Linked DNA regions of Saccharomyces cerevisiae S288C. The gene in region 1 interacts genetically with each later gene. Each region holds a gene or a part of one and is shown on either strand. Other genes may lie near its edges. The genes, in order: PHO12, ABZ2 and GPI12.

Region 1 (4,493 bases):
AAAGCGTCAGAAAAGATGGTTTAGCGAAGGCACCATTATGAAGATAGACACATTCTTCTTTTTTTTTTTTTTTTTTTTTTTTTTTTTTTTTTTTTCATTTACTTTTATTTCTCGCGGTCGGTAAATTTTTCGTGGGTTTCTTTGAATCTATTAGCCGACATAAGAATAATGCATAAATAATATTTTTAATGTCTTCCTATGCCCAAAAGAAGAAGTCTTGAAGTTGCCGCACATGGAAATCACATGACCATGGCTTGGCCCTTCGTTTTAAATGCAACATGCAATATGGAATGTGTCATGAATACTATCAGCAGGAACAGAAAGCGTCGTTTTGTTTCTGCAAATGCTGTAGTTTTGGGCCGAAAATAGATGTAGTAGAATATATAGTGAAACGTGATGTACAAAAGAAAAAGGTAGTTTAAAAAAAATTAGATAACTTGGATTTTTACCCTGAATATTGCATGTGATTCGTAAAGAACTGAGTTACCTCAAACGGACCTCCCTTTTCATTTCGTATTCCGCGAATCATGAAGTCATGCAATTACCTCTGAAGAGCTGACTGTCCCAAAAGAAGCTATCGAATCTGTCCTTGATTTATTTAAGCCTTGCGTTTCGAGAAAGTGAAAACCAATTGAATACAAAATAAAAAAAAAAGAAGAAAGAAATAGCAGGTCTAAGATATATAAGAAAGTTAATATCATTTTTGAACATTTTATTTTAGACGCCTTCAGCCGCGCGACGCCCGGAGTAATCATATGCCCATGACTTTACCAAAAGGCAACAGGGAGGAACATGCATTAATGTGAAGCATCACTGCTGCAATTCTCGGTGTTGCTAATAATTCATGGATCGAGAAAGAGACATAACATTTAGGCCAATTTTTTGAATAAATATGAACTCAGCTAAGACTCGACAATACAATTTTCTTATACTAAACGTAGATTTATAAAATAAACACAACTGTAAGGGCAATGCAACCGTAGATGCATATATCATTTATAGAAATTATATCCAACAGAAAGCTCAGACTTATATCCGGTTTAAGAGAGAAATTCTTGCTCATATTACCCCAAGACCAGGTGGCGTGTTGAAGTTTATAACATATAAGAACTACTACCTCATGAATTCTAGTGGATGAAAGAAGCAGCACGAACACCATTTCTACAGACAACGACACATGGAAAGGTTCACCATTCCCAAAGAAAACAACGATGGCCACAAGGGTGTGGTCCTCCATTCTCCTACTGTTGGAAGGAGATATTATCCGACCGACTGTTTTGTGATATGGCAAACTATTTTTTTAAATGAGCAAAATTACTTCTTTTGGCTGGAAATGTCATTAGAAAGTGCCCAAGTGACATTTAGCTAAACTCGGGTATTGTCTACAAGACCGGTGCTGTGACCGTTTCCAATACGGAAAGAAACGGTACTGGGAGCAGGAGTTGCTTTTACAGATATGAACAATGCCAATAGAGCCGCACATGTAATTACTGGTTCACACTCGTGGGGCCCACACGATTCCTGTGCAAAGTTTGACAAGAGGATGGAGTTTCACGTAAATGCTGCCAAAGGTGATGCGGTTTTGTTTTTGGGCAGCCTCTACCATGTTGCAAGTGCGAACCATACTGTGGCCACATAGATTACAAAAAAAGTCCAGGATATCTTGCAAACCTAGCTTGTTTTGTAAACGACATTGAAAAAAGCGTATTAAGGTGAGAAAATCAAGATTATCTAAGCCGATGAAAAATGAAAGGTATGATTTCAGCCACAAATATATAGTAGTTATTTTATACATCAAGATGAGAAAATAAAGGGATTTTTTCGTTCTTTTATCATTTTCTCTTTCTCACTTCCGACTACTTCTTATATCTACTTTCATCGTTTCATTCATCGTGGGTGTCTAATAAAGTTTTAATGACAGAGATAACCTTGATAAGCTTTTTCTTATACGCTGTGTCACGTATTTATTAAATTACCACGTTTTCGCATAACATTCTGTAGTTCATGTGTACTAAAAAAAAAAAAAAAAAAAGGAAATAGGAAGGAAAGAGTAAAAAGTTAATAGAAAACAGAACACATCCCTAAACGAAGCCGCACAATCTTGGCGTTCACACGTGGGTTTAAAAAGGCAAATTACACAGAATTTCAGACCCTGTTTACCGGAGAGATTCCATATTCCGCACGTCACATTGCCAAATTGGTCATCTCACCAGATATGTTATACCCGTTTTGGAATGAGCATAAACAGCGTCGAATTGCCAAGTAAAACGTATATAAGCTCTTACATTTCGATAGATTCAAGCTCAGTTTCGCCTTGGTTGTAAAGTAGGAAGAAGAAGAAGAAGAAGAGGAACAACAACAGCAAAGAGAGCAAGAACATCATCAGAAATACCAATGTTGAAGTCAGCCGTTTATTCAATTTTAGCCGCTTCTTTGGTTAATGCAGGTACCATACCCCTCGGAAAGTTATCTGACATTGACAAAATCGGAACTCAAACGGAAATTTTCCCATTTTTGGGTGGTTCTGGGCCATACTACTCTTTCCCTGGTGATTATGGTATTTCTCGTGATTTGCCGGAAAGTTGTGAAATGAAGCAAGTGCAAATGGTTGGTAGACACGGTGAAAGATACCCCACTGTCAGCAAAGCCAAAAGTATCATGACAACGTGGTACAAATTGAGTAACTATACCGGTCAATTCAGCGGAGCATTGTCTTTCTTGAACGATGACTACGAATTTTTCATTCGTGACACCAAAAACCTAGAAATGGAAACCACACTTGCCAATTCGGTCAATGTTTTGAACCCATATACCGGTGAGATGAATGCTAAGAGACACGCTCGTGATTTCTTGGCGCAATATGGCTACATGGTCGAAAACCAAACCAGTTTTGCCGTTTTTACGTCTAACTCGAACAGATGTCATGATACTGCCCAGTATTTCATTGACGGTTTGGGTGATAAATTCAACATATCCTTGCAAACCATCAGTGAAGCCGAGTCTGCTGGTGCCAATACTCTGAGTGCCCACCATTCGTGTCCTGCTTGGGACGATGATGTCAACGATGACATTTTGAAAAAATATGATACCAAATATTTGAGTGGTATTGCCAAGAGATTAAACAAGGAAAACAAGGGTTTGAATCTGACTTCAAGTGATGCAAACACTTTTTTTGCATGGTGTGCATATGAAATAAACGCTAGAGGTTACAGTGACATCTGTAACATCTTCACCAAAGATGAATTGGTCCGTTTCTCCTACGGCCAAGACTTGGAAACTTATTATCAAACGGGACCAGGCTATGACGTCGTCAGATCCGTCGGTGCCAACTTGTTCAACGCTTCAGTGAAACTACTAAAGGAAAGTGAGGTCCAGGACCAAAAGGTTTGGTTGAGTTTCACCCACGATACCGATATTCTGAACTATTTGACCACTATCGGCATAATCGATGACCAAAATAACTTGACCGCCGAACATGTTCCATTCATGGAAAACACTTTCCACAGATCCTGGTACGTTCCACAAGGTGCTCGTGTTTACACTGAAAAGTTCCAGTGTTCCAATGACACCTATGTTAGATACGTCATCAACGATGCTGTCGTTCCAATTGAAACCTGTTCTACTGGTCCAGGGTTCTCTTGTGAAATAAATGACTTCTACGGCTATGCTGAAAAGAGAGTAGCCGGTACTGACTTCCTAAAGGTCTGTAACGTCAGCAGCGTCAGTAACTCTACTGAATTGACCTTTTTCTGGGACTGGAATACCAAGCACTACAACGACACTTTATTAAAACAGTAAATAGACCTAATATGATTTATGTAATTTTAGAAACTAAATATGAATGCTAATTTTTTTCTTATTTTGACTTTTGCTTGCGAGAAGTACCAAGTTGGAACAACAAACACAGTCCAAAGAGGGAAATACAAAGGCACAGTACGCAATTACTTTATTATTCTTTAGCAAGACGAAGATAGTATGAATATACGTGTAAGGCATATGCAAAGCCATGATTTTATACCATAGACATGACATGCGGGTTACATGAGGTGGTAAAATGTTTTAAGATAGCGTCCAGGGCAAGTACATGAAATGTCGTTTAGAGATGATGCAAGAGTAGGGTTATGATGTGAAAGAATAGGGCAATTAATTAACAGAGCGGATGTTGTAGGATGATATAGTGACACATAATATATAAATGATCGGTTGAGCGCGATATTATATAAGAACATCCATATGAGTATATATCCTACCGTGTCTGTTCTCTACAGTGCTTCTTTTATTCAAAATTATTGGTTTTCGTAACCGCCGCGCAGGCACGCCGCGCATCTCTTTTTCTCGAAGAAAGCGGAAAAATAAAAACGAAAAAATAAAAAAAAAAAAAAGTATAAATAGTGAAGACTTTTTCCATTTGATATTTGGTAAAAATTTCGGCTGGAAGTTTTTTGCTGAACATTTAACCGGAGAATCTTGGTGGCTTTTTCTCAGTTTCGTGG
Region 2 (4,191 bases), on another chromosome or scaffold:
ATACTGGCATAAAAATTGTGCAGCAAATAGGTATACTTTTGGGAATAGGTGTCTTGAATCATCTTACTGGGCTGATGAGTTGTATCAAAGACTGCCTAATGGATGATCACGTTCCGGTGCGAATTGTTACAGCACATACTTTATCAACACTAGCAGAAAATTCTTATCCATATGGTATCGAAGTTTTCAACGTTGTACTGGAGCCATTATGGAAGGGTATAAGAAGTCATCGTGGTAAAGTGCTATCTTCTTTTTTAAAAGCTGTTGGATCTATGATCCCATTGATGGACCCAGAGTATGCCGGTTATTATACCACAGAAGCAATGAGAATAATTAGACGTGAATTCGACTCTCCCGATGATGAAATGAAAAAGACCATTCTTTTAGTATTACAAAAATGTAGCGCTGTAGAATCCATAACGCCAAAATTTCTGAGAGAAGAAATCGCGCCAGAATTCTTTCAAAAATTTTGGGTCAGACGAGTGGCATTGGATAGACCATTAAACAAAGTTGTTACATATACTACTGTTACATTAGCAAAGAAATTAGGTTGTTCTTATACCATTGATAAATTATTAACACCATTGAGAGATGAAGCTGAGCCGTTCAGAACAATGGCTGTCCATGCTGTTACTAGAACAGTAAACTTATTAGGGACAGCAGATTTAGATGAGAGATTAGAAACGAGGCTTATTGATGCGCTCTTGATAGCATTTCAAGAACAAACAAATAGTGATTCTATAATCTTTAAAGGGTTTGGGGCAGTGACGGTGTCACTTGACATCCGTATGAAACCGTTTTTAGCACCCATTGTGAGTACGATTTTAAATCATTTAAAGCATAAAACTCCCTTGGTTCGTCAACATGCAGCAGATCTATGTGCCATACTAATACCAGTCATCAAGAACTGTCACGAATTCGAAATGTTGAATAAATTGAACATTATATTGTATGAATCCTTAGGCGAAGTATATCCAGAGGTATTAGGTTCTATAATCAACGCTATGTACTGTATTACTAGCGTAATGGATTTGGATAAACTACAACCTCCTATTAATCAAATTTTACCAACCTTAACTCCAATTTTAAGAAACAAGCATAGAAAAGTCGAAGTAAACACTATCAAATTTGTTGGACTTATTGGTAAATTAGCACCTACCTATGCACCTCCTAAAGAATGGATGAGAATATGTTTTGAACTATTAGAACTTTTGAAAAGTACAAATAAAGAAATAAGAAGATCAGCAAATGCCACGTTTGGATTCATTGCTGAAGCAATTGGACCTCACGATGTTCTTGTTGCGTTATTGAACAATTTAAAGGTTCAAGAACGTCAGTTACGTGTATGCACGGCTGTTGCTATCGGTATCGTTGCTAAAGTGTGTGGTCCTTACAACGTGCTGCCAGTAATCATGAATGAATACACAACACCAGAGACTAATGTTCAAAACGGTGTTCTCAAGGCCATGTCATTCATGTTTGAGTACATTGGTAACATGTCTAAGGATTACATATACTTCATAACACCATTATTAGAAGATGCACTCACCGATAGGGATTTAGTTCATCGTCAGACAGCGTCGAACGTAATAACCCACTTAGCTTTAAACTGTTCAGGTACAGGTCACGAAGATGCCTTCATTCATTTAATGAATCTTCTAATACCCAATATTTTTGAAACTTCACCACATGCTATTATGCGTATTTTAGAAGGTTTGGAGGCACTGAGTCAAGCTCTTGGCCCTGGACTATTCATGAACTACATATGGGCAGGATTGTTCCATCCAGCGAAGAATGTAAGGAAAGCATTTTGGAGGGTGTATAATAACATGTACGTAATGTACCAGGACGCCATGGTACCTTTTTACCCCGTTACACCAGACAACAATGAAGAATATATAGAAGAACTGGATTTAGTTCTGTGAATATATATAGAGCATATAAATAACCACAACTTGTAAGAATATTTTACTTGACACACCTATATCATCACGTCACGATGCCTTCATAGATTATGATGAAATATAAACAGAACCTGCTATTGGAAAAAAAAGGGCAGGAAAAAATTTTGTGAAAGTGAGTAAAAGAAAGATGAAGAGCGAGACATGGATAATAAGAAATAGATGTCACTAATGGACAATTGGAAGACTGATATGGAAAGTTACGATGAAGGAGGCCTAGTTGCTAATCCGAACTTCGAGGTTCTGGCCACTTTCAGGTACGACCCTGGTTTTGCACGCCAGTCAGCGTCAAAGAAAGAGATCTTTGAAACTCCAGACCCTCGATTAGGTTTGAGAGACGAAGATATTAGGCAGCAGATAATTAATGAGGATTACTCAAGTTATTTACGAGTAAGGGAGGTTAATTCCGGCGGTGACCTTCTCGAAAATATTCAGCATCCTGATGCTTGGAAGCATGATTGCAAGACCATTGTGTGCCAGCGTGTAGAAGATATGCTACAAGTCATTTATGAACGATTTTTTTTATTAGATGAACAATACCAAAGAATAAGAATAGCATTATCATACTTTAAAATTGACTTCAGCACGTCTCTGAATGATTTATTGAAGTTATTGGTTGAAAACTTGATTAATTGTAAAGAAGGAAATTCAGAGTATCACGAAAAAATTCAAAAAATGATCAACGAAAGGCAATGCTATAAAATGCGGGTACTTGTCTCTAAGACAGGAGATATACGAATTGAGGCAATTCCAATGCCTATGGAGCCTATCCTAAAATTAACAACCGATTATGACAGTGTTTCCACATACTTCATCAAAACGATGCTCAATGGATTTTTAATTGATAGCACAATAAATTGGGATGTTGTTGTTTCATCTGAACCATTGAACGCATCAGCTTTCACCAGTTTTAAAACCACTTCAAGAGATCATTACGCTAGGGCGAGAGTTCGCATGCAAACTGCTATAAATAACTTAAGAGGTTCAGAACCTACTTCTTCTGTCTCGCAATGCGAAATTTTATTTTCCAACAAATCTGGCCTGCTGATGGAAGGTTCAATAACAAACGTGGCTGTAATTCAAAAAGATCCTAACGGTTCTAAAAAGTATGTGACACCAAGATTAGCAACTGGATGTTTGTGCGGAACAATGCGTCATTATTTATTGCGGCTCGGCCTTATTGAAGAGGGAGATATAGATATAGGAAGCCTTACCGTTGGCAACGAAGTTTTGCTTTTCAATGGCGTCATGGGATGCATAAAGGGAACAGTGAAGACAAAATATTGAGCAGACGACAGATTTTCATATCAATGAAGTTTTTTTACAATAGTTTACAAATCATGATTTTACATACTCAAATATGTGCAGGTTGATACAGACAACGTACGTAGAAGACAACAAACAGAAAACAGCGGTTTATACATTTATTTAAATGACATACAGTGGAGAAGCAGAGAAAGGAAAAGGAGTGCGATGAGAACAGAAGATGAATACTTCGGTTGTGTTGGTTCCACGTACACATTAATAGCATTAAAAATTGATCCTCTGAAATTACTTATGAGTTTTACGTCTTTTGGTATTTGGCGTTTTTCCACTGGCACCAATTGTAATGTTAACCTTTGGAGGGACTGGAAAACCGTAAGACTTTGCTACTTTGGCTAAATCCAGCTTATCGATTTGATAGACAGTTTTCAAAGAGTGGGAAGCGTACGCTTGTAAATAAGATCTATAACCATCCTTGGCTGTTTGATGTAGATAATAGTTGGATTTAATTAATTTTTCTAATTGTGATTGAACGTTTGCAATTTTGTTTTCCGGGAATTCGTACTCATTTAATGGGACCTTGGAAGCCTTTAGATATCTTAAAAACCCTAATTCATTAGGTGTTAAAAACATTAAAGATTTACCCTTACCTTTAGTGCCTCTTGCGGTTCTTCCGACTCTATGAATATAATCTCTTGGATCATCAGGAGGGTCGAATTGAATGATCCAGTCCACAGCAGGGATATCTAGCCCTCTAGCTGCGACATCTGTACAAATCAAGATACCTCTTTCCGCATTACAGAATTCGAAAAATGTATTTGTTCTCTTTTGTTGTTTTTGCTTACCGTGTAATTCGAGGACTGGCAAATCAATATAGTTCAATAATTCAGCGTAATATTTCACAGAGTTACAAGATGATAAAAATACAATAATTTTCTTTTTTTGATTTCTTTTCAAGAAAGAAAAT
Region 3 (4,112 bases), on another chromosome or scaffold:
TTTATCTTCATCTTTCTCCTTTAACTTGGTTGATGTTGAAGGTGCTAGAAGCCGTGGTGCTGGCAATCTATTTTTCAATGAAGATAATAATGAAACCGTATACAAACATTGCTTTGAGTTGAAACCAAATATTTGTCTTATCCTAGTTAAAAGCTGAGGAATAAACAGAATTTCTTCAGTAGATCTTGGGATGGATAAAGAAACTAAAGTTGCCAATTGAGTGCTACGTTGATGAGTCGTCATTGATTTTAATGCCTTTACCGCAGGAAGACCAGGTGCCTCGTCCTGTTCAAAAGATATAGCGGTTGGATCGTTTAAACTCGTAGAAGTAGGCTTGACGTGTAAATGATTTGTACAGGAAACGCCGTCACAAAGATGGTCTTTGTGTGGCGGTGGAGGTGGTGCCCCCAATGGACTCATTGCAGAACCGCTATTATCACCATCCATTTTGCCATTTTGTAGCTGCTTATTAACCGTTTGATTTAATAAATAGATATTTGTAGAAGACAGATTCAATGGAGCATCTTTCAAATCATGTTTGAAATTGCCATTTATGGTATTATCCGTTGATGTCTGTGGTCGCGACTGTGAAACAAGGCTTATTTGCTGTTCTTTGATATCACACAAAGCTAGCAAACGCTTATTCTCTGCCTCCAGTTCGCGTACTCTTTCTTCCAGGCTTTCTGTGTACCCTTTTGGATACGCTTTCCTCAGTAATTTATCGCTTATTCTGCATTCAAATCCGACAGCAGCACACTGCGAACACTGTGGTCTTTTTCCATCGCACCTTGTTTTCTTAGATCGACACCTGTCACAAGCTTGAGCTATCCTGTAAATAGGTGTAGATAAAGGAGTCGGAGAAGCTGTCTTGATCATTGCTTCCTTCACGTTCTTGGAAAAATGAGGGTTTGCCTCCGAACTTGAAGTTCTATTAGATATGCTAGGACCGCTAAGCGCTTGTGAACCCAGAGTTCTAATGACTCTGGGTTCCAAACCTTGTCGATCAGAATTATTATTTGCCATAATTTTGTGTCTTGTCTTTTACTCAACTTGTAAATTCTCTTTAGGGTGTTGTAACTGTTTATGAAGAAATAAATACCGTAATGAATTATTAAATTATTAAATTCTTCGTCTTTTTACAATATCACAGGTTTAAAGGGGAGTTTAACAAAATCTACTATTTTACGGCTGTTTTCTTTTTTTGAGTGTCACTGACCAATCATGCTTTCGTACCCCACAAAATATCAGCCCCGCCGCTCCATGCATGTCTCGGTTATCGCTTAATACGAATATAATCACTGAGAACCTCGGCGGCAAAAATATTTACCAATAGGCAAATTAAACACCGAAAAAAAGAAGTTTCAAGTAGAAGATTATCCCGAATACCAAAAAATTGCACGAGAAAGAATGTCTTTTTATGATTTATTGCTTATAATACTCAATTACTCTGGTTTTCTCCGTTCCTGTTACGCACATAAACTCTCTCTGTCTCTGATATCACAACTCATATCGCGAATAAACACCGGATAGAAAGAAGTGAGAGGAGCTACGATAACTGAATATACTCTTTCATCAAAAGTAATGTGCTAATAAAAAGAAATGTTGCACCATCTTAACAGATGTAAAAATGTTCTGCAGAAGGAAAGTTGTGTAATCATACACATTCAATAGTATAAGTCGTATCACAATCTGATGATAAAAGTTGTTACCTCTTTTAACTGCCTCTGATCCTTTTCACATTCAGTAATTTCTCGTAGATGTATATGTGCGAATGTGTCAATGTGTTTGTATGAAATAAACTAGTAGCCGGGTAACAAGTACTCCTAAATTCCCGCTTCGCCGTTTCTATCTCATTGGAGTCGTCCCTTCTAGAAGGTTTACTAGTTACGTTAACGTCATAGAAAAAGGAAAATCGACGCTGCGCTTTTATTTATAATCTTGCATTGCCCTCCTTATTTATCGAATTGTTAAGTGTAGATAGGTGACGCTAGAGCCGTATATTAGATTCTTTCAAACCCTGAAGAAAAGTTAAATGAAGATGTTGAGGCGTACAAAGGTAAATTTTTCAAAATTGCTTTACAAGATTACTAAACTAGCAATAGTACTGACGATCCTATATATTTATTTTACGCCCAAAATCGTCTCCCGAAACAATGCATCATTGCAGCATATTTTTCCTCATAAATATGGCGATTATGAAATCAATTTGGTCATAGCGCACCCTGACGACGAAGTTATGTTTTTTTCCCCCATAATTTCTCAACTGAATTCGTACTTTCCGAGAACCGTCCCATTTAACATAATCTGCTTATCAAAGGGCAACGCCGAAGGTCTTGGCGAAACCAGGGTAAGAGAATTAAATGAGTCGGCCGCTTTATTGCTACACAATGAAAGAGCAGTCTCCGTACAGGTGATGGATTTCCAGGATGGTATGGACGAAATATGGGATATTGATTCTATAACTTCTTCTCTTTCACAAAAGATAGATATAAAGAATCATAACTTGAACCAGATTATCGTTACCTTTGATTCATATGGTGTATCAAATCATATCAACCACAAAAGCTGTTATGCTGCCGTTAAAAAGTTGGTGGATGATTATGCTCAACCTAAGACCAAAAGAAATGAACAACCACCTCATGTCACTGCGCTTTATTTGAGAAGCTACAAGAACAACATCGTTTTAAAGTACAACTCCTTTATTTGGGAAATCCTAAAAATACTTTACGACCTGATTTCTCCATTCCGTAGAATAATTCAGGCGCTTCCGCCTAACACAGCCGCCGAAAAAGACAAGCTTTCACTTATGAATACACATGCACAATACGTACTAGCGTTTGCCACTATGCTAAATGCTCACGAATCCCAAGTTGTGTGGTTTAGATACGGATGGTGGATATTTTCCAGATTTGTCTTCGTTAATGAATTTGATGTTTATACATATTAGACTCTACACTGTAGATATATATATAAAAAAGTCCCATATTATTTACATCCTATAGAATAAGAATATGGAGAAAAATAAATGCTAATTCTACTTACACTTTTCTTACCAAAGGCTACCTATAATCATACCATCATCTTCATCGTCATCGAAACTATCTAGCCGCACTTTCTCCCTTTCCTTTTTGTTCTCAATCTTGTTTTTCATTTTCTTACTTCTTAGAAACATACGATTCGCACAAAAAATATTCAAATCTTTGGTCATTTTTCTATCAAAACCATAACTATCAATGAATTCCCTTACCGCTGAAAATCTACCTCTATTTACAAGCTCCTTAATAATACATTTTTGGTATTTGATAATGATATTGTTAACTTTTCCAGCATTTTCTGCTCTCGTTCTTTCGATCCCCGGTTTGAAACTCCTTAAAACATCAATTCCAAGCGGGAAATTGCCTGTTTTCTTCATGATATCGTACAGTTGTCTCAACGTCTCATAATCAACTGAAGGCCTTAGCCGCTTAGATGCATACCACTGCTTCATTAAATGCCAACATCTAACAACAGAAGTGGCTTTCTTGTCGTTTGCTGGTGTCCAAGCAAAATGACTTAGCTGAAACAGCCTTCTCCAAAATAGCGCATCCAATTTCACGTCCGGATAGTGCTTTATGAATGAATCCAAAATACTTAGGCCTCTGTGAAGATCGTGGTCATTAAAGTAGAATGACACTAAGATTGAAACGAGTATTTTGGAACTAGGATAGCACCCTCGGTGCTTAATTACTACGTGACTAGGAAACTCTTGGGGTGATATTTGCCATATATGTTCAATACACCGTTCCAATATTTGGGTTTGGCCTAGGTGTCCAAAGGATTGAATTAAAGTGGACAACAAATCCTCGGAATTCAAAAGCTTTTTCTCCTGCAGAGCAAGATCAGCAATCTTTAATAATGTTTGGTGATCCATGGCTTTGTAAGTAGAAGAAAGACGAATTGACGTATTTTTCGCACCTAGTCGAACCATTTTTCTTAAAAAACCTTGTTTTTGCTCACTATTATCTGGTATTTTCCAATAAGGCGCCAAAGCGCCACAACGCAGTTGTAAAAAGTGAACTATTGTGCTAATATCTGCATTTTTCGGAGACAGTAATATATCAGGATTTCTATCA

Evidence for each region.
Region 2: mutations in PHO12 (region 1) and ABZ2 together harm fitness more than expected from each alone (negative genetic interaction), as found in Saccharomyces cerevisiae (one large-scale study listed by BioGRID).
Region 3: mutations in PHO12 (region 1) and GPI12 together harm fitness more than expected from each alone (negative genetic interaction), as found in Saccharomyces cerevisiae (one large-scale study listed by BioGRID).

Annotation. Positions count from the first base shown.
Region 1 is NC_001140.6:549,705-554,197, forward strand, and holds PHO12 (acid phosphatase PHO12), read left to right. Parts: upstream 1-2,394; coding exon 2,395-3,798; downstream 3,799-4,493. Other genes in the region: YHR214C-D (uncharacterized protein), read right to left, coding at 944-1,237; YHR214C-E (uncharacterized protein), read right to left, coding at 1,496-1,795.
Region 2 is NC_001145.3:846,562-850,752, forward strand, and holds ABZ2 (aminodeoxychorismate lyase ABZ2), read left to right. Parts: upstream 1-2,123; coding exon 2,124-3,248; downstream 3,249-4,191. Other genes in the region: U2 snRNP complex subunit HSH155, read left to right, coding at 1-1,925; ATP-dependent RNA helicase HAS1, read right to left, coding at 3,513-4,191. UniProt on the Saccharomyces cerevisiae protein: Converts 4-amino-4-deoxychorismate into 4-aminobenzoate (PABA) and pyruvate.
Region 3 is NC_001145.3:830,307-834,418, forward strand, and holds GPI12 (N-acetylglucosaminylphosphatidylinositol deacetylase), read left to right. Parts: upstream 1-2,032; coding exon 2,033-2,947; downstream 2,948-4,112. Other genes in the region: DNA-binding transcription factor CAT8, read right to left, coding at 1-1,023; AEP2 (Aep2p), read right to left, coding at 3,050-4,112. UniProt on the Saccharomyces cerevisiae protein: Involved in the second step of GPI biosynthesis. De-N-acetylation of N-acetylglucosaminyl-phosphatidylinositol.